Linked DNA regions of Rattus norvegicus. The protein of the gene in region 4 purifies or fractionates together with the protein of the main gene of each other region. This does not show direct contact. Links are inferred from orthologs where the notes say so. Each region holds a gene or a part of one and is shown on either strand. Other genes may lie near its edges.

Region 1 (4,194 bases), on a different chromosome or scaffold from region 4:
ACACATGTCTTGCTTGTTCTCTCTAAAATTAATGTGCACAGCTTTTTAAATTTTGGTACAAGCGACTAGTCCCAACCTAAATGTTGATTTTTCCACAGTTACATGCACTGTGTGTTGGGAGTGGAGACAAGAGGCAAGAACCTTCTGTTCAAAGTACAAGCAACTGGTCCCAACCTAAATGCTGATTTTCCCACAGTTCCCCACTGTGTGTGTGTGTGGGACGTAGGGGGTGGTCATGAGACAAGAACCTACTGTACAGTGTATGAACCACCTCTGAAACCTGTAAAAAATGTTTATGTTCTATGACCCCCTTATTAAATTCTCTACCACACTAGTAAATTTTGGAGCAGGCTAGGTAAAGTTCTTGTCTCAAGGTAAGGTAAGGGTTAGAAAATCAGAAGCCACTTTATTAAAGTTCTGAAGAAAGTCCTTTTGCTTCTTTCTTGACTTAGGTAACCTAAAAAGTGTGATACGGATGCACACGTGTCTCTCAACAGTTTTCCTTAAAGCTTTATGCCTACAAGTACCACTCATTTTGCATCATGGATGCAAGTGTCAGCCAACTTATTCCAAAATACTTTAGTCCTACAGTTTGTATCTCCAACAAGGAAAACCTTCAACTCTCTAGGACCTAAATTTCTACCTGTTCTTACTTCTCCGAGTTGGAAAATTTGTATCCATGAAGAAAAGAATACCTAAACGTCAGTTCTAAGTCCCGGTTCAGGGTGACTGCCAGTTTCAAAGTGGCCCTACAGGGAGAAGTTTCTCCTAAAACTTCTCTTTTTCAGAGAAAGGGAATTATTTACCCAGGCTTTTTTACATTTACATGGCTTCCACTGTAAACTTAAATTCGATGTCATTAATAAATTTGCTGTCTGAGATCAAAGACACAATGCTACTTTTTCCCACGTTTGGAAGCAGCAGGTCTCTTATTCCTTAGCCACACAGGACAAAGCATTTCTTAGACCGAGTGGCTGGGATATAGAGGATGGGGACCACAGAGATTTCGCCAGGAAGCAGAAGGGTTCCCCAAAAGAAAACATTCAGACACCAAGTCTTATCCGGCCTAGGAGAAATTTCTTTTCCTCTTACCTCCCTTTTCCCCTTGGAGGGCGCCCAGAGATCACAAGAGTGCTTCAGCTCCTGCTCCAATTCCCCGAGTCTCTTCCATGTTTCCGGAAAACCCTAAGTACAGCCAGCCCCAGTAACCCACGCACTTCCGGTCCGGAACCAGCCCCAAGTACCCAAGTGCCCCAGCGCCTCAGCCCTCAAGTCCGGAGATAGCCGAATATCTCCGATTATGGGTATGCCAGATTCGAGGGCTTCCGAATAGATTCGATTCAAAGCCTCGGCAAGACGAAAACAAACGAACCTGAAAGTAAAATGGGAGGAGCCGGCCGCTAGGCAGATGGAAAAAGCCGATTGGTACCGATGTGGAGACGGAAACGACCGAACAGTTCCGGAGGAACCCGGGGAATTCTGAGCGGTAATAGAGGGGTAGACTATGGCAGTGGGCGGGGCCAGTTCGGTACGTTCGAAGGGCGTTGGCGGAAATTACCGAAGATGCCCGAAGCCGTCGGGACGGACCCGAGTACCTCACGCAAGATGGCGGAGCTGGAGGAGGTGACTCTGGACGGGAAGCCTCTTCAGGCTCTGCGGGTGACCGACCTGAAGGCCGCACTGGAGCAGCGAGGCCTAGCCAAGAGCGGGCAGAAGAGTGCCCTGGTCAAGCGGCTCAAAGGGGTGAGAAGTCAGCGTTGCCGAGGTGTCGGAGGGGAGCGGACCTGGTAGAGACGAGTCTCCGCTGCGGCGCAGGCGCAGTGTCCGGGCTCGGCGCGAGCTCTCTCAGGCCGCCAGCGCGAGCCTGCAGATCCACGCGCACGGTGGTTGGTGTGGCTGGCGCTGGAATAGAGATAACGCCGGTTCCCGCCTTAACGGCAGCAGCGCGAGCCCAAAATGGGAGGGTGCGCGCTACTCTCCCGGAGTGTCTTAAGCTCCTTCCTTCTTCCCCCACCCCCTCCTTGTTTGTGTCTGTGTTTTCGGCGCATGCGCTGCAGAAGGAGTTAAATCCCTCTACAACCACCGGTGTGGCTGGCCTTAAGGGGGCGAGCAGGGCTGTGTCCGAGTTAGGGATACAGTTGGGCGGATGGGGTTGGTGTCTGTGTCTGCAGTAGTACATTTTGGATAGGGTAAAAAATGTCCGCTTGACTAGATTAAAACCTTAGATGAAGGAAAACCTTGATAGAAGGACTTGTCAGAGACGGGTGTCTAATTTATAGGGAATCGAGAAACAGTCTGGATAAGAATTTGGTGAATATTGGTGCGAGAGGTGAGACAGATTACTTTAGGCTGGGGATTTTGTATCGGTTTGAGCAGTGAGAATGAGCTTGTTGTCGTGAGGTATACATACTGTGTATTGGTTTGGTGTAAATGGAGGGAAGGAAGGTGAGAAGGACTAGTGTAATTTGAGTTCATTAGGGTACGTGGCTCATAATACTGATAGGGACTCGGTCAGTTCAGGCTTTGAGTTGACAGACCGTTGCTTATCCCGAAGCTGACAGTTTGTGGGTGGGTGTGGATTAGGTCAGACCACAGGTTACAAGGTCTGTGGTTAGTTTCTCGGTGAAGTTTTTAGTACATTTGATTTGTCTGGGTGTCAACACTGATGGAAATTGTGCAGGTTCATTTAAGTAGTTTTAGTTCTGAAAATCAAATAATAGTCAAATCTAAATTAGCAGCCTAGTGTTGGTTTCATGTAATTTGAAACTTGTTTGAGTACTTGTAATTTTTTTTGCCTGTATTACCAGATTTAAAAGTGGCTCCTAGTCAAAATTACAGACAATAACAGGGGTTCTAGTTCTGATTCTGCCACTTTTGCTGATTTTTTTGTGACATAGCCAGGTCACTGATTCTTTGTGTGCCTGTATTTTACATCCGTATACTTGGGAGCAGTAACCATGGCTACCTTTAAGCGACTTATGAAGATGAATGAGAACAATATTAATAAAGCGCTTTTAGGCTCTGTGAAAGGAATGTAGTATAAATGTATATTTAAGTAATTTAGTGAAAAGGCTGTGGGAGAGGTAGAGATCTGGAGTGCTTTTTTGTTCCCCCTCCTGGTTTCTGATTTTTGCTCTTCTTTATACCAGGCTCTAATGCTAGAAAATTTACAAAAACACTCAACACCCCATGCTGCATTCCAGCCAAATTCTCAGGTAAGAAAAAAGGTTTGTTTAGATAGAATGGGCTATTTGGAGAAAATGGTAAATGGGAAGACTTGGTGTCTTCCATGTTTATCAGAAACAGAATTTTCTTGTTTTTTTATTGCAAGTGATCTCAGTTACTGGGTTTTTGTTTTGTTTGTTTTTGTTTTGTTTTTTTAAGGTCTGTTTTTATTTTATGTGTGTGGGTGATTTGCCTCCAACGGGTGCCCACAGAGGCCAGGAGAGAATGTCAGATCCTCTGCAACTGGAGTTACAGACAGCTGTGAGCCACCATGTGGGTGCTGAATCGAACCTGGGTCCTCTATAAACGCAGCCAGTGTCTTAACCATTGAGCTATCTCTCCAGCCCTCAGACAGTTGAATTCTAATCACCCTCAATTTTGCATAAAGACCTGGAGTTTTAAAAAAAAGAAAAGAAAAAAATATATATATATAAATAAAATCAAAGGAGCACTGAATGAATTTTGAATTCTTGGAGTGTGTCAAAAGTATCACTCTGGGGGTTGGGGATTTAGCTCAGTGGTAGAGCGCTTGCCTAGGAAGCGCAAGGCCCTGGGTTCGGTCCCCAGCTCCGAAAAAAAGAACCAAAAAAAAAAAAAAAGTATCACTCTGATTAAGTGTGCCACAAGAATCTGAAGTCACTTGCCATCAGCTTAGGGGAAAGTTATCTTTGAATATAGATCTTTGAATATAGATGTAACAAAATACTTTTTCATCAAGAACTCTTTTATTGGTACAAATTTACTTTAAAGAATTTGATACTGTATTAATAAACCCTTATTTCTAGGACTAACTCTTAAACATCCTTAAAACCTTGATGACTTAGGACAAGGTACTTAACACTTAGAGACCTTTGTTTCTTTACCCGAAATAGGAAAAGTAGTTTGACTTAGTTCATGGTTTTATAACTGCTCTGCTGGGGTGTCTTAGGGGAAAAAACTTTGTTCTAAGAGTTCCTGCATAAACGTTTT
Region 2 (4,032 bases), about 110 Mb from region 4:
AGCGCTTGCCTAGGAAGCGCAAGGCCCTGGGTTCGGTCCCCAGCTCCGAAAAAAAGAACCAAAAAAAAAAAAAAAAAAAAAAAAGAAAGAGTGTTCCCTATGATCTGTTGACTGAGGGAGAGAAGACTCGGACCTGGTTTACTGGCAGTTCTACACATTATGCCAGCACCACCAAGAAGTGGACAGCTGCAGCATGACAACTCCTTTCTGGATTGTAGTTAATTCCAGAATCCAAATAGACCCACTAAACATTGTGCTTCTTTCTTGGTAGTGGGAGGAACCAGGTGCAATAGCTTATCTTTCCCCTCGGAAGCCCCATACCACCGGCCTCCTAAGAATTTCATCAAAGGAGATGGTCCTTTAATTTTGATTGATCTGTTTATATTGGCATAACTGAGTCTACTTGAGAAGATAGAACAATGAGGAAAACAGTTTTAAAATTGTCTTAACCCATTGTTTTTCATGGGTAAAATTAATCAGGATTATAGATGTTTACCACCCAGGTTTTTTTCCCTCCTTGTATAGTGAAATGACAAAAGGATTTTCAATATTAGTCCTTTGACTTAAACTTGTATTCCATTCTATTTTCCCATTTTATTATTCTATCTGTCTGTCTGTCTGTCTATCTATCTATCTATCTTTTTGTTTTTTGAAACAGGGATTCTCTGTGTAGCTTTGGTTTTCCTGGAATATCCTCTCTAGACCAGTCTGGCTTCTTTCACAGATACCTGCCTGCCTCTTGCCTATGCCAACACAGCGCAGCCTAATTTCCCATTTAAGAGGTGGGAGATAAGAATTATGCCTATAATTCCAGCAGTTGAAAGGCAGAAGCAGGTAGGAGCTATGTGAGTTCAAAACCAGCCTAGAGCTACATAGGGTGTTCCAGACTTTTCTTGAAAAAGTGTGTGTGGAGGGGGTGAGCAGTAAAGGCGCGAGTACCATATTGCAAATAAGTGCTATGTGAATATAACTTTGTGATACTGAGGAAATAGTAATCAGAGAAGGCCTCATGAAAGAGAGGAGGACAAACAAGACCAGCATAGTTTGCAGGTTCTAAAACCCGAGTGATGCTACCCAGACAACTGCAGGTGTGGGGCCAGCCATAGCTGGCGATCGCCCCCTTCTGGAAGAGTGCGGCCTTGCCCCTGACAGAGTCTTCAGAGAACGCTGAGCCTGAGGCACGCAGGCGCGGTGAGCGGACGAGGGCTTTAGGCGAAGATGCGCATGCGTGTAGCCCCATGGAGGCGGTAGCTGCTTCGTCGCTGTGACTGGAGGCCGAGTGCTAAACTGTGTGGGGCACGGATGGGATCCAGCTGTTAGTCGGTAGGCATAGGTAGGGCCGCTGCCTTGCGGGGAGCCGGGGACTGGAAGGCGGAGGCCCTGAGCGCAGGCCCCGAGCCGTCCCTGTGAGGTCGCGGTCGACTATTGTATGTGTCGCAGCCGCTGCGTACAAGATGGCGGCGGTGGGGCGGGCGGAGCTGAGGGACCCCGGGTGGGCCTCGGCCGTGGCCTGTTCCCCTTGTCACTCGCTGACCGCGCCGTTGCGCCGCAGTGCCGCTCGGCGCAGCCGCCTAATGCCGCCGCTTGCGGAGGAGCGGGTGGCGTCCTCCGGGAATCCCTGCCGCCCCTTCCTCAGCGCCGCGGGTCTGCCTCTCAGGCCTGACAGCTAGCGGGGAGGCTGCCGCGTGCCCGAGCGCCTTTCGGAGACCCGTGGGCCGCGTGCGCCCTTAGCCGGGCTGGAAGAGCGTCCCTGCAGGGGGTGGGAGTGGGGTGTGCGGGGTGTTGTGGGCTAAGCGCCCCAGTGAGCACCGAAGTCGAGATTGTTGGTCCTGGGATGTCGTCGAAAATGGCGGTGACACTTCCACATTCTTAGAGGAGTCGAGAACACCGATGTGGGGATATTTGCTTCTGTTGGTGTGGTTCCTAACTTGGGCCTGTTTTGTTAAAGAGCAGGGAGGTCTGTACCACTGACTCTCATCCCCGAGGATGTTTCAGACGTCCTTTGTTGTTTGAAGTAATTGCCTATGAGGGAGTCTCAGTATTACAAAATCTTTGAGCTTGACAATGATCGTAGCCTCGAGCTATTTAATATTAAAATTACCCTTGGCAGTTTGGGAATTCTAGAAGGAACACTCAATGTGAAAAGTTCTGAAGAAAAGCTTCTTCACCAGCATCCACCCGACCATGTGAAGTCATCTTTTTCCTACCCAGTTTTGAAATTGTTCATACACAAAATTCTCCCTCTTGTCATTTTGTGTATGAAGGGTTAACTTGTTTTTCAAAAGAGTTGCGTTTACTGCTTATGTTTATAAATTTAAAATGACAGACTGGAAAAAGATTACAAGAAATATTAATATAAGGACGTTAACACAGGAAAATAAGTTTGTTTATTACATTTTTTTTATTACATATTTTCAAAATGTTATTGATTATACACTTAACCATAATGGGCTTATGCTGCATTCTGCTTTACAAAATTTGACTTTTATATTTCCATATTCTGTAGTGTGTACCTTCATATTTGTGGAATCCAAAATGTAATATACTAAAATATCCTAGGCTATTCCCCGCCTTGTCATTGTGTTGGAACCAATGGGTAAAGACAAAACAGTTGAAAGAAATCACAAAAATGTCCTTCATTTGTTTTGATTAACTGGTTTTCAAATGTATTTATATGACATATATTACCTTGTACATTGGATACATTGCAGTTTTTTGCATTTGTTGTGATGGAGTGTGCTTTAACCATAAATTCTAGTTCTAAAAAGTTCTCACAGTCATCATTTTCTGGATGTTGTAAGAATGTCTTAAGATCTCTGAATTTTGATTTTTATGTAATAAAAATGATGAGTCTAATGGACAGAGAATAGGTTTTGGGACCAGAAGTTATGGATTTAAATACATTGTTCTCTTACTATTATTATGTGTGAGACTTCAGTTGTTTTAGTCTTTGTGAAATTTTATGTTATTTGTAAACTTCGCTACTTGTTTGAACTTTCTTTTAGTATACTGAGATCCAGTATGGAATACTCCTATCCTTCAGCAGATAGATGTTTCTTAATTATTTCAAGTTTTACTTGTTTCAAAATTTAACTTGACTAGGTAACATCTTCTAATAGAAAATTGTAGCCTATGGATACTTCCTTTTAACTAAAAGATGGAATTTAGATTAACAGAATTGAAAACTATCAAACTTGAAAATGTCTTGCATCTATAAATTTATTGCATTTAACCAGAATTTAGTGTAATAGTTTATTGATTATTTACAAAATCTTGCTAGGTAGCAGATTAGCCTAGAACTCAATGTGTTGATTAGATCAGGGTGCCCTTGCATTTGGAGGCAGAAGTAGGATGATAACTCCAAGTGCTAGGATTACAGACATGACCCCTGCTTTGTAGCAACTAAATAATTACGTCAGTCTTCGTGTCTGAGTGACTGGTGTATGTATTGGATGCTCCAGTATTAAATGTATGAACTCAGCCCACAGGTGCAAGAGCCTGGGTGGGTTCTCATGCTTATTTCACTGTGCCTTGACATTGATGACAGTTTGAATAAGTATCCAGTTTCTTAATGAAATGTTATAGTAAACTAAGAAACAGTGCTTCTAAAATAGGCACCTAGTAATACAGTGGACTAATGAATATTGAAATGTTGATGTTAGTAGATTAGCAAATAAAACATTTGCTGTGACTAAAGTTAATAAGCCCTCATTTATATCCAATCTTTTATTGTTTTTATTATTCTAAATTTGTTCCATTGTTTGTGGTTGAAAATAAAAGTGGAAGGAAAATATATAGACAATCAGAAAAGAATAGTGAAAAGAATTGTGAGAGAAGGTGATGTGTAGAATTAAAACTCATAGCCATATTGTTTCTATGAGAATCAAGAATAATAAGTTTTGGATTGACAGGGTAGGGAACATAGCAATAGCTTCAAGGTGCTTGTATGAGCATAGTGATTACTTGGGATGTAAATATTTTGATTATTTCTCATTCTTTTGAAATCAAACTCTGTTCATGTTCTAGTCCTAA
Region 3 (4,300 bases), on a different chromosome or scaffold from region 4:
ATCCCTAGATTCTGCTCACCCACTGTGTGGGACCACATGCAGCTCTTTTGCCTTATCCCATAATTTTCCTTCTCTGCTCCTGTTCCAGGGATTTATCATCAGTGGGACCACTCTTTATGCCTCACCTCTGCCCAAGGCCTCAGCTACTAACTTTGTTTCAAGGTCTTTAGTTCTGGTCAATCTTGCTCTTGGCTCTAGGTCCGCCTTGTTCTGAACTCTGGTGGGAATCAGAGTGTGAGGCTGTCCTTCCCAACAACACAGAGGGATGCATTTAGTTAGAAAAGCAGAAAATGCTCTTTATTTTCAGATATACCTAATTTACATTTCTGGAGTCATGTGGGGTGGAGATTTCACTTCTGATTGAAATGTCTGATTGGAATTGAGGAAGAAACCAGGCTGAAAGAAACTTGTATCATAGTAGTCCACATGGGAGCTGTGAAGCCACCACTCAGAAAGGAGACTCTGAAGAGGAAGAACTTTGAGGAGTATCTAGTTAGGGAGAGACAGCAGGAAATTAGCAAAGAAGACTGGATTCTAGACATCATGTACCAAAATGATGGATGTCACAGAAATAGGGAGAAGGGTTTGAAGGGGACAGCAATACCCGAAAAAGGGTCATTTAAGTTACAAGATAATCAGGAGGCAAGAGTAGCTGGATGGAGGCTGGCAGGATTCCCAAGGATCCAAAACAAAAAAACAAACAAACAACCCCCCCCCCAAAAAAAACAACAAAAAAACGGTGGCTTAATTAAAATGATAGGGAAAACAAATATGGGAAAGTTGGCTTCAATCCATGTAATTCTGTACGGATCAGACTCTGTCTATGTCCTGGTCCTGGGTTCAGGGCAGCTGTGCGGGGCAGTTTTTTTCACTGGCCCATGCCAGATGAAGGCTGAGCGCCTTCAAACCACCGCGAGGCTGCAAGGTCAGGAGAGGGAGCTCGAGCCACCTGGAAGGATGCAGTCTTTTCTATCGTCAGAAGTCCCTGTCAACATTATTTACTCCAATAAATAACTTTCCACAGTGCCAGGCGACAGCATTTGTTGCTCAGGGGACACACAGTGATGCAAGAGCCCCGCTCTATGTCTTCCTGCATGTCACTTGCCCTGACCACGGCGTCCCCAGAGGTGGCGAACAGCCTTTGGAGCCCTGAGGCTTGCTTGGGTGAGGGGAGTGTTTCCTGAGACCCCGCCAAGGTGGCCAGCCTGGAGTATCTCCTTCACCCCGCAAGGTTATTCCCCACCCTCCACCTCTCAAACCCAGCCGATCTCCACAGCAGCTCATCCGGTCTCCTTATCTCTCGGCCGCGGACTTCACGGCCGAGTGGGGGCGCTGTCGAGGAGCACGTCCGGGCGGACGCGCGGGCCACGCCTCGCAGACATTCAGGAAATGATGCAATGCTTGAGCCCTGCAGCTAAAGTTCAGTCAAGCCGAATGGCGGAAGTCCCGCCCAACCCCGCCGGCGGAAGTCCCGCCCGCTCTTGACGGCGGAAGTCCGGTCCTCCGCTTCTCCAGGTTTCCTCGTGCGTTCCACCGCCGGCATGGCGCATTACAACTTCAAGAAGATTACGGTGGTGCCGTCAGCCAAGGTAGGGGTGATCGAGGTCGTTCCCGCCTATCTCCCTTCCCCTGACAAGTCTCCAGGGAGGGTTTAGTTCTGTATCCCCGAGACCGGGGGAGGGAGGACGCCTTGGATCCACTCGGCCCTCAGACCCGAGCTCCACTTGTTAGGCTTTGTCCTCGGCACTCTCGGAGATCAGTCACACTCTCTGGAACCAAACCCCTCTCCCTCTGTCCATGGGTGCCCTGAATCCTAGAATCCCTCCAAGACCTCAGAACTCTTCCAGGACCTATTATTCTTCTGTGCCCTGCCGACGTGACAAAGTGTCTGGGTGCTGGCCGCAGTAAGGAGCAAGGCAGGAAGCCTGGAGTGGTTAGTGGTGAGCGTCGTGAGACCCCTGCTTTAGGATTCTAGATTCAACGTAGTATCCTCCCTTTTAAGTAAAACTTGATTCGTGCTGTCACGGTCTAAAAAATTCTAGGTAGTTGTCATTTGTCGTTGGATTTAGAAAATGCAATTGGTTTTAAGCACGCAAGGCCAAATTTATGTGACGTAGCAAGATACGTTCCTTCCAAATGTCGAGTATTATTAGTTAGGCTAAAGAACCTAAAAAGATACACGTGTTTCTTTGGCAAGCCATGGGCATTGAATCGCAGGATCAACTAGAGGAACCAATGTCACTGTCATTAAATTTACAGCAGTGTGGGTATTTTCGATATCTTCCTTTATGAAAGAGCTTGTTCTGAACTTTGTTAATATAATTGACCTAGTAAAGAATTGAACGCAGCATGTGTCTCTGTTGCCCTGAAGGAGTTCTGCTGCTAGAAAACAGATTAAGTTAGCATATGTATTAATAGGCGATGGGAATCCTTCGGTGGTTGGAAATAACTCAAGTCTAAAGAGTATGGGGTATTTTTGTAAAAGTGTGTGCTAGGTTCTGTGTATAGACACTCAAAAGAATAGTCTACGTCTTTAAGAATCATTTTCTGAAGGAATAACAAAATGCATTTAGACCCACTGCAGTATCATGGAGAACTGTGTGAAATACATTTGGCCCTCTGTGTTTGAGTTCAAATCCAGATTCAACCAACCGCAGACCAAGAACACTATTTGAAAACTGCATCCACATTTAATGTGCACAGACTTTATTTTCCCTTTTTTGTTGTTTATCTGTTTGTTTTCTTTCTTTTTGGAGATGGTCTTACTAAGCTGACATGGCTGGCCTGGAACTTAAAGAAATATGCCTGCTTCTGCTTCAGAGTGTTAAGATTAAAGGCATGAGCCTCCATGCACTAACATTCCCTAAATATATGACATATGTATGTGGATTCTTCTATACACAAGCACTGTACCACTTTATAATGAATTCAGATATCTGTTTGAGAGCTATTGTGGTGAGGGCGTGTGGGGAGAAACTCTGACTGTAAACTCCTGTAAGTATCAGGGATTTGGGATAGCATAAGAATGTAGGGAGAACAGGGCAGTGTTGATGTACGCCTTTAATCCTAGTGCTCAAGAGGCAAAGGCAGGAGATCTCTGGGTTTGGGGCTAACCTGGTGTACACTGAGCAAGATAAGTTGTAGGACAGCCAAGGCTACAGGCAGAGAAACCCTGTTCAGAAAAACAAAACAAACAAACAAAAACATGCTGATAAAAGGGAGAGTCTGGAGAAACTTTTCAGTAGGCAACTTTTACTGTCTCCCTAAAGATGTGAGGACCATGGTAAGGAACAGAGGGGAGGAACAGAGGCCTGAGTGTTCATGCTCTTCATAATCCCTGGCAGACTATTGCGATTACCTGCTTGCCTTTGGTTTTGCTTCACGGGATCTTGGCGCCTAGTTCACTGCTTTGTCCACCATTGTTGTTCATTCTATCCTTTATTACAGGACACGAGCAATATTGTTGAGGTAATGGAAGTGATCAAGGGAAAGGAGAACAGTTTTGTATGGTTGGGTAAAAGTGAATAGGGACAAATAGCTCAAATCCTCAGTCTCCTCAACATACATAGGGAATTTTAGATGGTGGGTTTTAGATTTTTCATTTTATAACCCCTTAAAATCACAACTACAATGTCCTTGAAATTGAAGAACTGTCTCTTTTTCTTCTGATTTATTCTTGAGTTTTCTTAGGAGTTTGCAAGTTAAAATAGTATTAAAAAAACATGGGTTAAAATATATTTCAGCAACCATTAGCAAGTCCTTTCCTCTACATTGGGCAGATTTATAGGAATGACTAGGGAGGGGCCTCCTCCATCAGTTGGGAGTATTCACAGGGTTTTCAGCCACTCCAAACGAGGGTCCTGGGGGTGGCTGGACACGTCGAGCATGCCCTCATTATCAGGGATGGATGGGGCTGGGTGTTTGTAAGGTGTGGCCTGGTTGGTCATGGTTGGTGTAGGGGCTGAGTGAGGGCATAGTTAAAGCAGGGCTTTGGCACTAAAGGACACCACCAGCACCGGCCCTTTCAGTCAGGCATTCCTGAGGAGTGTGGCGAGTCTCTCAACTGTCTTAGTGTTGGTGGTGGGTAGCAAGTTTTCATAAGGGCCAGAAACTGTAAAGATGACCCAAGTTGTATATAAAACAATTGATTTTTGAAAAAATAAGTTTTGTAGTTTAAACCATATAGTACTGGACTAATGTTTTATGGTTATAAGCAAATGGCTAGAAAGTACATGTGTTTGAATTTCATCTTAATTATTTTCTTTAATCATAGGACTTTATTGACCTGACATTATCCAAG
Region 4 (3,500 bases):
ACTGAGGAAGAGACAGCAAAGGACAATGGTTAGTCCAACTCAGAGCAGGAGGGAGGGCTGGTCGCGTGCGGGAGCTTCACACGGGGTCATTTCTGAGAGCGTCTGAGAGTATCTGAGCTGCCACCTCAGTCACTAAGGACGGCTTTCTCTACCTCTCCTTGGGGATGATGGGGGCAGCATAGTTCATTTGTGAAACTCTGCTAAGCGCATGTTACGTCACAAAGCAGGGGTGTGAGAAGGGGCGGAGGATGTCTGAGAAGCACCCTAGTGTTAATGATGACCCTTTCCTTATTCTGTAATTAGGCCTTTGCCTAACTTTAATGCAGCATAGATCTTCTTTTTTTTTTTTTTTTTTTCTCTCTTTTTTCTTTTTTTCGGAGCTGGGGAGCACAGATCTTCTAAGGCGACAGAAGAGAGGGTTAATGGCTGGAGAATGGATCAGTAGTGCAGAGGAGCTTGGCTCCCAGTTCCTCCAGTGTCATGGTGCTCACAGCCTCTTGTAACTGTAGCTGTGAGGGCTCATGAATGTGTTCACACACAGTTGAAAAGTGAGCACCTTAAAGATCAGGTACAGTAAGCTTCTTTGAAAAAGAAGGGACTAAAGTGAAAATCCAGCTTTACTTGTAATTTCCCCAGAGCTAACCTGTCCCTGGCTAGAGGACTCATTACTGAATAAACAGAAACAAGATTTAGAATGCCGCCTTGCCTTGACAAGCAAAAGGCGTGTTCTGGGATCTGTCTGAGTTGCCTCCTAGCCGGGTGTGGTGGTGCATGCTCAGGATCAAGGAGCCCAGAGCTCGGGATGCAGAGGCAGAGGCAGGCGGATCTGAGTTAAAGAAGAGGCTCTCCTGTGTGAGGCCTATAGTGCTACTGTGCATGGAGAGTCGACTCCAGTCTTAACCCCATCTTCTTTAAGGTGAAGTTGAAGACCAGGAAGAGAAAGAAGACACAGAGAAGGAAAACACTGAGAAGGATGAAGATGATGTTGAACAGGAACTTGAGAACATAGACCCTACGTGGATGGAGTCCCCTAAGGCCAACGGCCATATTGAAAATGGCCTGTTTTTACTGGAGCAGCAGCTGGAGGATGAAGAGGATGAGGAAGATGACTGTGCAAACCCCGAGGAGTATAACCTGGATGAACCAAATGCGGAGAGTGATTATACGTATAGCAGCTCCTATGAACAATTCAATGGTGAATTGCCAAACGGACAGCCTAAGAGTCCAGAGTTTCCCACACCGCTGTTTTCTGGGCCCTTAGAACCTGTGGCCTCTGACTCTGTGCTGTCAGAGGGATCACCACTCACCGAGCCAGAGGAAAGCAGTCCATCCCGTGACAGAAGCAGGACAGTTTCAGCCTCCAGTACTGGAGACTTGCCAAAAAGTAAGTGCCATTTTGCATCTCTGTCTGCTGGCTCTGGGTAGGGTTACACCTGTGACGTACTGTGAAGGGAGTTGACTAGGCGAGAGCCACGAGGTCCTATCCCTGGCCTTTCTTCATTTACTGCATATTATTAAATGACATCAGATAGGTAAAATGGCCTTCCACCATTACCAACCTCACAGCTTTCTAGATACACCCTCTTGCAGCTGAGAGCAGTCGTTTTTGGGTTTTCAAGGGATCCCTGGCTGTTTTCATCCATACTGAGACGCCTTGTGTTTTATTTGATAGTTGCCCTTGTTTATACAACCATGCTTTCTTTCTGTTTGTTTTGTTTTGTTGTTGGTTTGGTTAGTTTTTGTTTGTTTTTTTGAGACCTGTTTTCTCTGTGTAGCCCTGGCTGTTAATGGAACTCTCTCTGTAGACCAGATTGGCCTCAAACTCAGAGATCTGCCTGCCTCTGCCTCCTGAGTGCTGGTATTAAAGGTGTGCACCACCATTGCCTGGCTCTATAACTCTGCTTCTGAGAAAGCACAATAACAGATTATACATTGGTTCTACATTCTGGTCTCCATGCGGTCCTATCTTCAAACACATAGTTTGTGCAAGTGCCATGAAGGAAAATTGAATATCACAATTGATTTTTATTCCGACCCTTAGGGGAAAAGTTCAGTGACTTTGCTATGCCCATAGTACATGACAAACAATTGAGCCAGCCTGACCCGTTCTGTAGCCTCTTTAGTTGCTGCCTCTGTCTGCTGGCTGTGCTGGATTGTCTTAGGCGTGGTGTTGCTCCCTTGGCGGTGGCTGCTTTACACCTCACCCTTGGTCTGACCAGAAGAAAATATAGGCTCATTTCTGGGCAAAGGTGGCAGAGACTTGTACCTTCTCTGCATTTATTGTTTCTGTTGCAGCTGATTTTCACACAAAGCAATTTTTACCATAGCTTTTCCTTATTTTTCTTAACTTGATTTTTTTTTTTTTTGGAGCTTGGGACCGAACCCAGGGCCTTGCGCTTGCTAGGCAAGCGCTCTACCACTGAGCTAAATCCCCAACCCCTTGTTATTTTTCATGTGATAACTTAGAACAGTAGTTTTAAATATAGAAAACTGAATTCCAGCTTAAACTTAGAATAACCATGGGACTTCAGTTTCTTAACCTCTTCATGCCCCATTTTTGTTTGCTTTTGTTTTTTCTATTGAAGGAAAGCAGTGGCCACACCAAATGGCCATTGAAGCAAATGCTACATACTGAACTGTGTGTGAGAAGTTCGGTACGTGTGCCTCGGTTGTTCAACACCTCCTCACACGCACATTCATTACTGCCCTGTCACACCAGCAGTGCCTGCGGCCCGGGCTCTGTGGACAGACTGCTCAGCATAGTCTTGCCGAGAGCTCAGGGATCTCTCGATTTATTCCGTCTCCCACATCATCATTCATTCTTTCTGGGGAGCCAGGATAGGTAGATACAGGTTAAAACCTGAAAAGAAAAAAATTCTTTCTAGAACAATTTTATGTGCTTCGGTGTTGGCGTGCATGTGTGTCTGTGTGAGGGTGTTGTGCCCTGAAACTGGAGTTACAGTTGGAGCTGCCGTGTGGGTGCTGGGAACTGAACCCAGTCCTCTGGAAGAGCAGCCAATACTCTCAACCACAGAGCCGTCTCTCTGGCCCTCAGAAAGAAATCCTCATAAAAAAGAAGAGAGAATTTATAATCGTAGTGTGTGAGGAGGTATTCTAACTTAGGCAAAATCTAAAATTCCAGTGCAGAAAGATTATTGAATTCAAAACTCATGGTTTTCATTAAAGAAGGCTTGGGCACTGTGACAGAGGCGATCTTTTGGTGATTGTCAGGAGGCCGTGGTTGCTCTGCCTGCTGTGTCGTGGCGGAAGTAAGCGGACAGCAACTTGTCCTTGGGCCCTGCCGGCTCCTCCAGTAGCCCTGCCTTTCTTTTGCCATTGCTGCTTGCTCTGCTGTCCCTCTGGGAAGTTAGGCATCTTCCGTGTGCGTTACCTCCTCTGTTCTTCCTTGTTCTTGTCTTGCTGAACTCGTCCTGTTGACGGATCTGCACCTGCCCGTGATTTCCACTGGCTTCTGTGAATTGCTGCTTCATTCCCCAAGC
Region 5 (4,199 bases), on a different chromosome or scaffold from region 4:
GTTCACCACTCAGCATGAAGACCAGAGTTTAATATCCAGCACATACATGTAAAACAGTGGTTTATAATTGCAGTGCTGGGGTTGGGGATTTAGCTCAGTGGTAGAGCGCTTGCCTAGCAAGCTCAAGGCCCTGGGTTCGGTCCCCAGCTCCGAAAAAAAAAAAAAGGAAAAAAAATGTAAATGATATAATTGCAGTGCTAGGTAGCAGAAATAAAAGGATTCTTGGGGCTCTCAGGCTGACAGAGAGCTCATGTTCCAGTGAGACATCCCTTCTCCTTTCTTTTTCTTTTTGAGACAGGGTTTTTCTGTATAACAGTCATGACTGTCCTGAAACTTGTTTTGTTGACCAGGCTGGTCTCAAACTCGCAGATATCCACCTGCCTGTACCTCTCAAGTGTTGGGATAAAGAGGTGCACCATCATGTAGGACTGAGACTTTCAATCTTTAATCCTAGAACTCAAGAGGCAGAAGCAGGTGGATCTCTTCAATTCACCAAAATCCACCTGACTCTGCCTGCCCAGTGCTAGGACTGTAACACCAAGCCCAGCTAAGTTTCCCTACGCTTTCAAAAGTTTAGATTGAGGAGCGGTGGCACTGTGCGCCTTTAATCCCAGCACTCAAAAGGCTGAGACAGGGGAGTCTCTGTGAGTTTGAGGCCAGCCTGGTGAGTTCCAGGCTAGCTAAGGCTACAGAGAAACCCTATCTCGAAACAAACAAAAAGTGGATAGTTCCAGAGACTATAGAACTCTAGAAGGTGACCTCTGGTCTCCTCTACGTGTCCCTGAACACACAGTAACACTCGACACAAAACGAAGGAAAATAAATTCCTGGATTGGAACTATCACAACATAATTCCTCCAATCGCATATAGCCTATTCCTTGATTTACCTCTCTAAAAATCGAGAAAATCCAGACAAAACCAGGTAGAAGAGTTGAGGATTTAGCTCACTAGTAGAGTGTTAAGCGTTAAGGTCCTCGGTTCAATCCCCAGCATCGAACTGGGTGGGAGAGGGGGAGGGGGTGCAGACAGAGATAAGGCCTGGTAGAGGAGGCAGTAACTACAAGGACTAGGAAAATGGAGTCTGAGCACGAACGCAGCTTGCTCTTGTTTCCCTCACAGGAAGATGGCACCCTGGGCACCACGTGGACAAAGGGACGTTTTCTCCTTTTCGGAGCAGAGCCAAAGGTTCCAGAGCTTGACTGCTGCTTCTCCAAGTAAAAAAGGCTGACACCGCGGCGGGTAAGAATGTCAGGGTTCATCAGGGAAGGCACGGCGGGGCGGAGTCAGTGTCTGGCCCGGGCTTGCCCCCGGCCTAGGCCGGAGGTCCCGCCCCCTCGCCGCCGAAGCCGTGCCGCCATCGCCGCCCGGGCCTAGGCGTGTCTCCGCGGGCGCACGGCATGCTGGGAAGGTGCCCGGGCGGCGGCCATTTTGTCTTATCGGCTCCTCTTTGGAAGAGGCTTTTCGGCTTGAGAGTGGGCCGAGGGGTTGGTTCGGCGGCCGAGTGGCTGGTGGTTTTCGTTGGTGGGTGCTAGGGCTGGTGTGAGCAGCCGCCCGGAGGAAGCACCATGATTTCGGCCGCGCAGTTGTTGGATGAGTTAATGGGCCGGGACCGAAACCTGGCCCCGGATGAGAAGCGCAGCAACGTGCGGTGGGACCACGAGAGCGTAAGTCCCGTGGGCCTTGGGCCTGTGCCCAAGCGTCTGGGGGAGGGGAAGGGAAGGGAGGGCGCGGGCCCAGGCTGGCCTGGGTGGGTCGCGGCGCGATTTGGGGTCCGGGCCGCGGAGACTAAAGCACCTGACGGCTGAAGGAGGCGGGAGAGTGGCCCGGGAGGGAAGATTCCGCGCGAACCTCGGGGGTAGGGTGATTTGTTGTTCTATGGAGGAAGTCCGGGATTTCTCTTGGCGGGGCAGAAGAAGCACCTTGGTGAGGCCGGGAAACGCGGGAAAAGGAAGGAAGGGCTCGTTTTATTACACCAGAGCTCCGTGTTTTTAACCGCATGAAAAAGAAAGGCAAAGTCTTCCGTTATATTGATGCAGCCATCATATTTAAATATGCTTGACTTCTGACCAGTATTAGTGGGGAAAAAATCGTAGTACTGCATTATTTAGGAGTGGTTGGTTCCATTTCGACGGTCCTTTGGGTAGGTAGACATTTGAAACAGGTGACTTGGTACAGTTTATCATAAACAGTGTTTGCTAATGCGGTTTGATGGCAGTTGGACGCCTGTTTGGTGGCAGTAGTCAGTCCCTTAGATAGGCGGTTGTCGAGGTTTTTTGTTTTCACATAAACTCACTCAATCCTTTTACTCTCTTAGGGTTAAATATAACTCCAGGGTCACAGGTGAGGCAGGAGCAGCTCACTCGAGGTCTCATGTAGTCGGCAAAGCTAATTTTTTAGCACTGTTCAGGTTGCACTGTTCTGTGAAGCTGGCTTCGTGCATATACTACACTGTATTTCAAGTACTTTTTATCTAGTTTTGTACACGGAGCACATTGTTTTAGGTCTGAACTGGAGAATAGGTATACTTGATTTTACCTTGCAATTAAAATCAAACCGCAGTTTTAAGTCATTTGCTAATAAAATATGAAAAAGTGGCTCAACAAAAGCTTTGTTTTTTTTTTGTTTTTTGTTTTTTGTTTTTTTTTTTTTGAGGCAGTGCTTTACTTTGTAGGTCAGGTGGTTTTCGAACTTGAAATCCTCCATCAGCTTCCAGAGTGCTGGGATTACTAGTCACAGATGGGCTTTTCAAGAAAGTAAATTATGCATTGTTTTCTCTTCTTCCTCTCTTCACCCCCACTTTCAATTGAAGTTTTTTGTTGTTGTTGGGCTTGGGGGGGCTTTGGGTGTATTTTTTTTTATTCTGGTTTTGTTTTGCTTTTTTAAAGATTTACTTATTATAAATAGGTACACTGTAGCTGTCTTCAGACACACTAGAAGAGGGCATCAGATTTTATTACAGATGGTTGTGAGCCACTATGTGGTTGCTGGGATTTGAACTCAGGACCTCTGGAAGAGGTGCTCCTAACCACTGAGCCATCTCTCCAGCCCAAGGGTTTGGTTTTTCAAAACAGGGTTTCACCGTGTTTCCCCTGGCTGTCCTGGAACTCACTCTGAAGATGAGGTTGGCCATGAGATCCTCCTGCCTCTGTTAGAATTAAAGGTTTGGACCACCCCTGACTGGCGTTGGGTTTTTTTTTTTTTTGTTTTTTGTTTTGTTTTGTTTTGTTTTGTTTTGTTTTTTCCTTTTCCTAATGAGAGTCTCTATGTTTAGCTCTGGTGTCCTGGAACTTGCTCTAGGTCAAGGCTGGCCTCAAACTCAAGAGATCCCTTGCCTCAGTCTTCTGAGCCAGGGATTAGTCAATCTAAACTTTTTTAAAGGTTAGGAAAAATTAGCTGTGCTGGGTGGTACACACCTATCAATTATCCCAGCACCGAGGAGGCAGAGGCAGGTGGATCTTGGTGAATTTCAGGCCAGCCAGAGAACTATTATCTTGAAACTGTCTCAGAAATAAACAACAAAGGTGGGGGGGGGTAATTTTTCCCTATAGGACATTTGTGTTTTGGATTAAAGATAAATGTGATTTCATTCCGTACACCTCATAGTTTTGAACACATCTTGGGAAGAATGGCACATAATAATGTATGTGGATAAGTTTTGAAAATAACAATCGAGGCTTTAATTTTCTTTCAGTTACTTTCTTCAAGTCAGTTAGATGCTGCCCTTTTTGGTTTTTAATAAAACCTCCAAGAGATAGGCAAATCCAGCATTCACTGTCTAATACGGTAATATAGTTTAGCAATTTTATTCCAGTTGGAGAATTTTCCTCCTAAAATTATTTGGTGGGTGTAAGGAGATGGGGGCGTTTGTTGGCCATGGGTCCTCAACTTGGCAGCAGGTGCCTTTACCCAGTACAGAACCATCTTTCTGGCCTGTATTCAAATTTTTTCTCTGCCAGTCTTGAATTAGACAGAGAAAAGCCATATAACTGATAATTGGGCAGACCATTTTTCTTTGACTTCTTTGATAAGGATGAAAAAATATCAAAAAAGATCACTGGAAACCAAGCCTGTAATTTTAGCACAGAGTTCCAAACTAGCCTAAAGCTATCCCTGCCTCAAACAAGGAGATTAAATTCCAACTATTGGAAGATCTGTAGCTATTTTGCAGTTAAAATGGAAGCTTGCATGGTGGTATTCC

The links. Proteins that work in one complex are often made in the same cells at the same time.
Region 1: the proteins of Srpk2 (region 4) and Acin1 purify together in Homo sapiens (affinity purification with mass spectrometry; 3 studies listed by BioGRID and IntAct, with this or other methods). This does not show direct contact. The link is inferred for Rattus norvegicus from reciprocal best matches to the Homo sapiens genes SRPK2 and ACIN1.
Region 2: the proteins of Srpk2 (region 4) and Zfp638 purify together in Homo sapiens (affinity purification with mass spectrometry; 3 studies listed by BioGRID and IntAct, with this or other methods). This does not show direct contact. The link is inferred for Rattus norvegicus from reciprocal best matches to the Homo sapiens genes SRPK2 and ZNF638.
Region 3: the proteins of Srpk2 (region 4) and Gtpbp4 purify together in Homo sapiens (affinity purification with mass spectrometry; 3 studies listed by BioGRID and IntAct, with this or other methods). This does not show direct contact. The link is inferred for Rattus norvegicus from reciprocal best matches to the Homo sapiens genes SRPK2 and GTPBP4.
Region 5: the proteins of Srpk2 (region 4) and Luc7l3 purify together in Homo sapiens (affinity purification with mass spectrometry; 3 studies listed by BioGRID and IntAct, with this or other methods). This does not show direct contact. The link is inferred for Rattus norvegicus from reciprocal best matches to the Homo sapiens genes SRPK2 and LUC7L3.

The regions. Positions count from the first base shown.
Region 1 is NC_086033.1:32,114,205-32,118,398, reverse strand, and holds the start of Acin1 (apoptotic chromatin condensation inducer in the nucleus), read left to right. Parts: upstream 1-1,394; 5' UTR 1,395-1,431; coding exon 1,432-1,743; intron 1,744-1,784; coding exon of another isoform or gene 1,785-2,179; intron 2,180-2,190; exon of another isoform or gene 2,191-2,329; intron 2,330-3,149; coding exon 3,150-3,215; intron 3,216-4,194. Other genes in the region: C15h14orf119 (uncharacterized protein C14orf119 homolog), read right to left, coding at 1,785-2,179.
Region 2 is NC_086022.1:117,958,819-117,962,850, forward strand, and holds the start of Zfp638 (zinc finger protein 638), read left to right. Parts: upstream 1-1,232; 5' UTR 1,233-1,333; intron 1,334-4,032.
Region 3 is NC_086035.1:65,997,883-66,002,182, forward strand, and holds the start of Gtpbp4 (GTP-binding protein 4), read left to right. Parts: upstream 1-1,500; 5' UTR 1,501-1,541; coding exon 1,542-1,589; intron 1,590-4,273; coding exon 4,274-4,300. UniProt on the Homo sapiens protein: Involved in the biogenesis of the 60S ribosomal subunit. Acts as a TP53 repressor, preventing TP53 stabilization and cell cycle arrest.
Region 4 is NC_086022.1:12,527,243-12,530,742, forward strand, and holds part of Srpk2 (SRSF protein kinase 2), read left to right. Parts: coding exon 1-28; intron 29-916; coding exon 917-1,384; intron 1,385-3,500. UniProt on the Homo sapiens protein: Serine/arginine-rich protein-specific kinase which specifically phosphorylates its substrates at serine residues located in regions rich in arginine/serine dipeptides, known as RS domains and is involved in the phosphorylation of SR splicing factors and the regulation of splicing.
Region 5 is NC_086028.1:79,770,630-79,774,828, reverse strand, and holds the start of Luc7l3 (luc7-like protein 3), read left to right. Parts: upstream 1-1,399; 5' UTR 1,400-1,566; coding exon 1,567-1,665; intron 1,666-4,199. UniProt on the Homo sapiens protein: Binds cAMP regulatory element DNA sequence. May play a role in RNA splicing.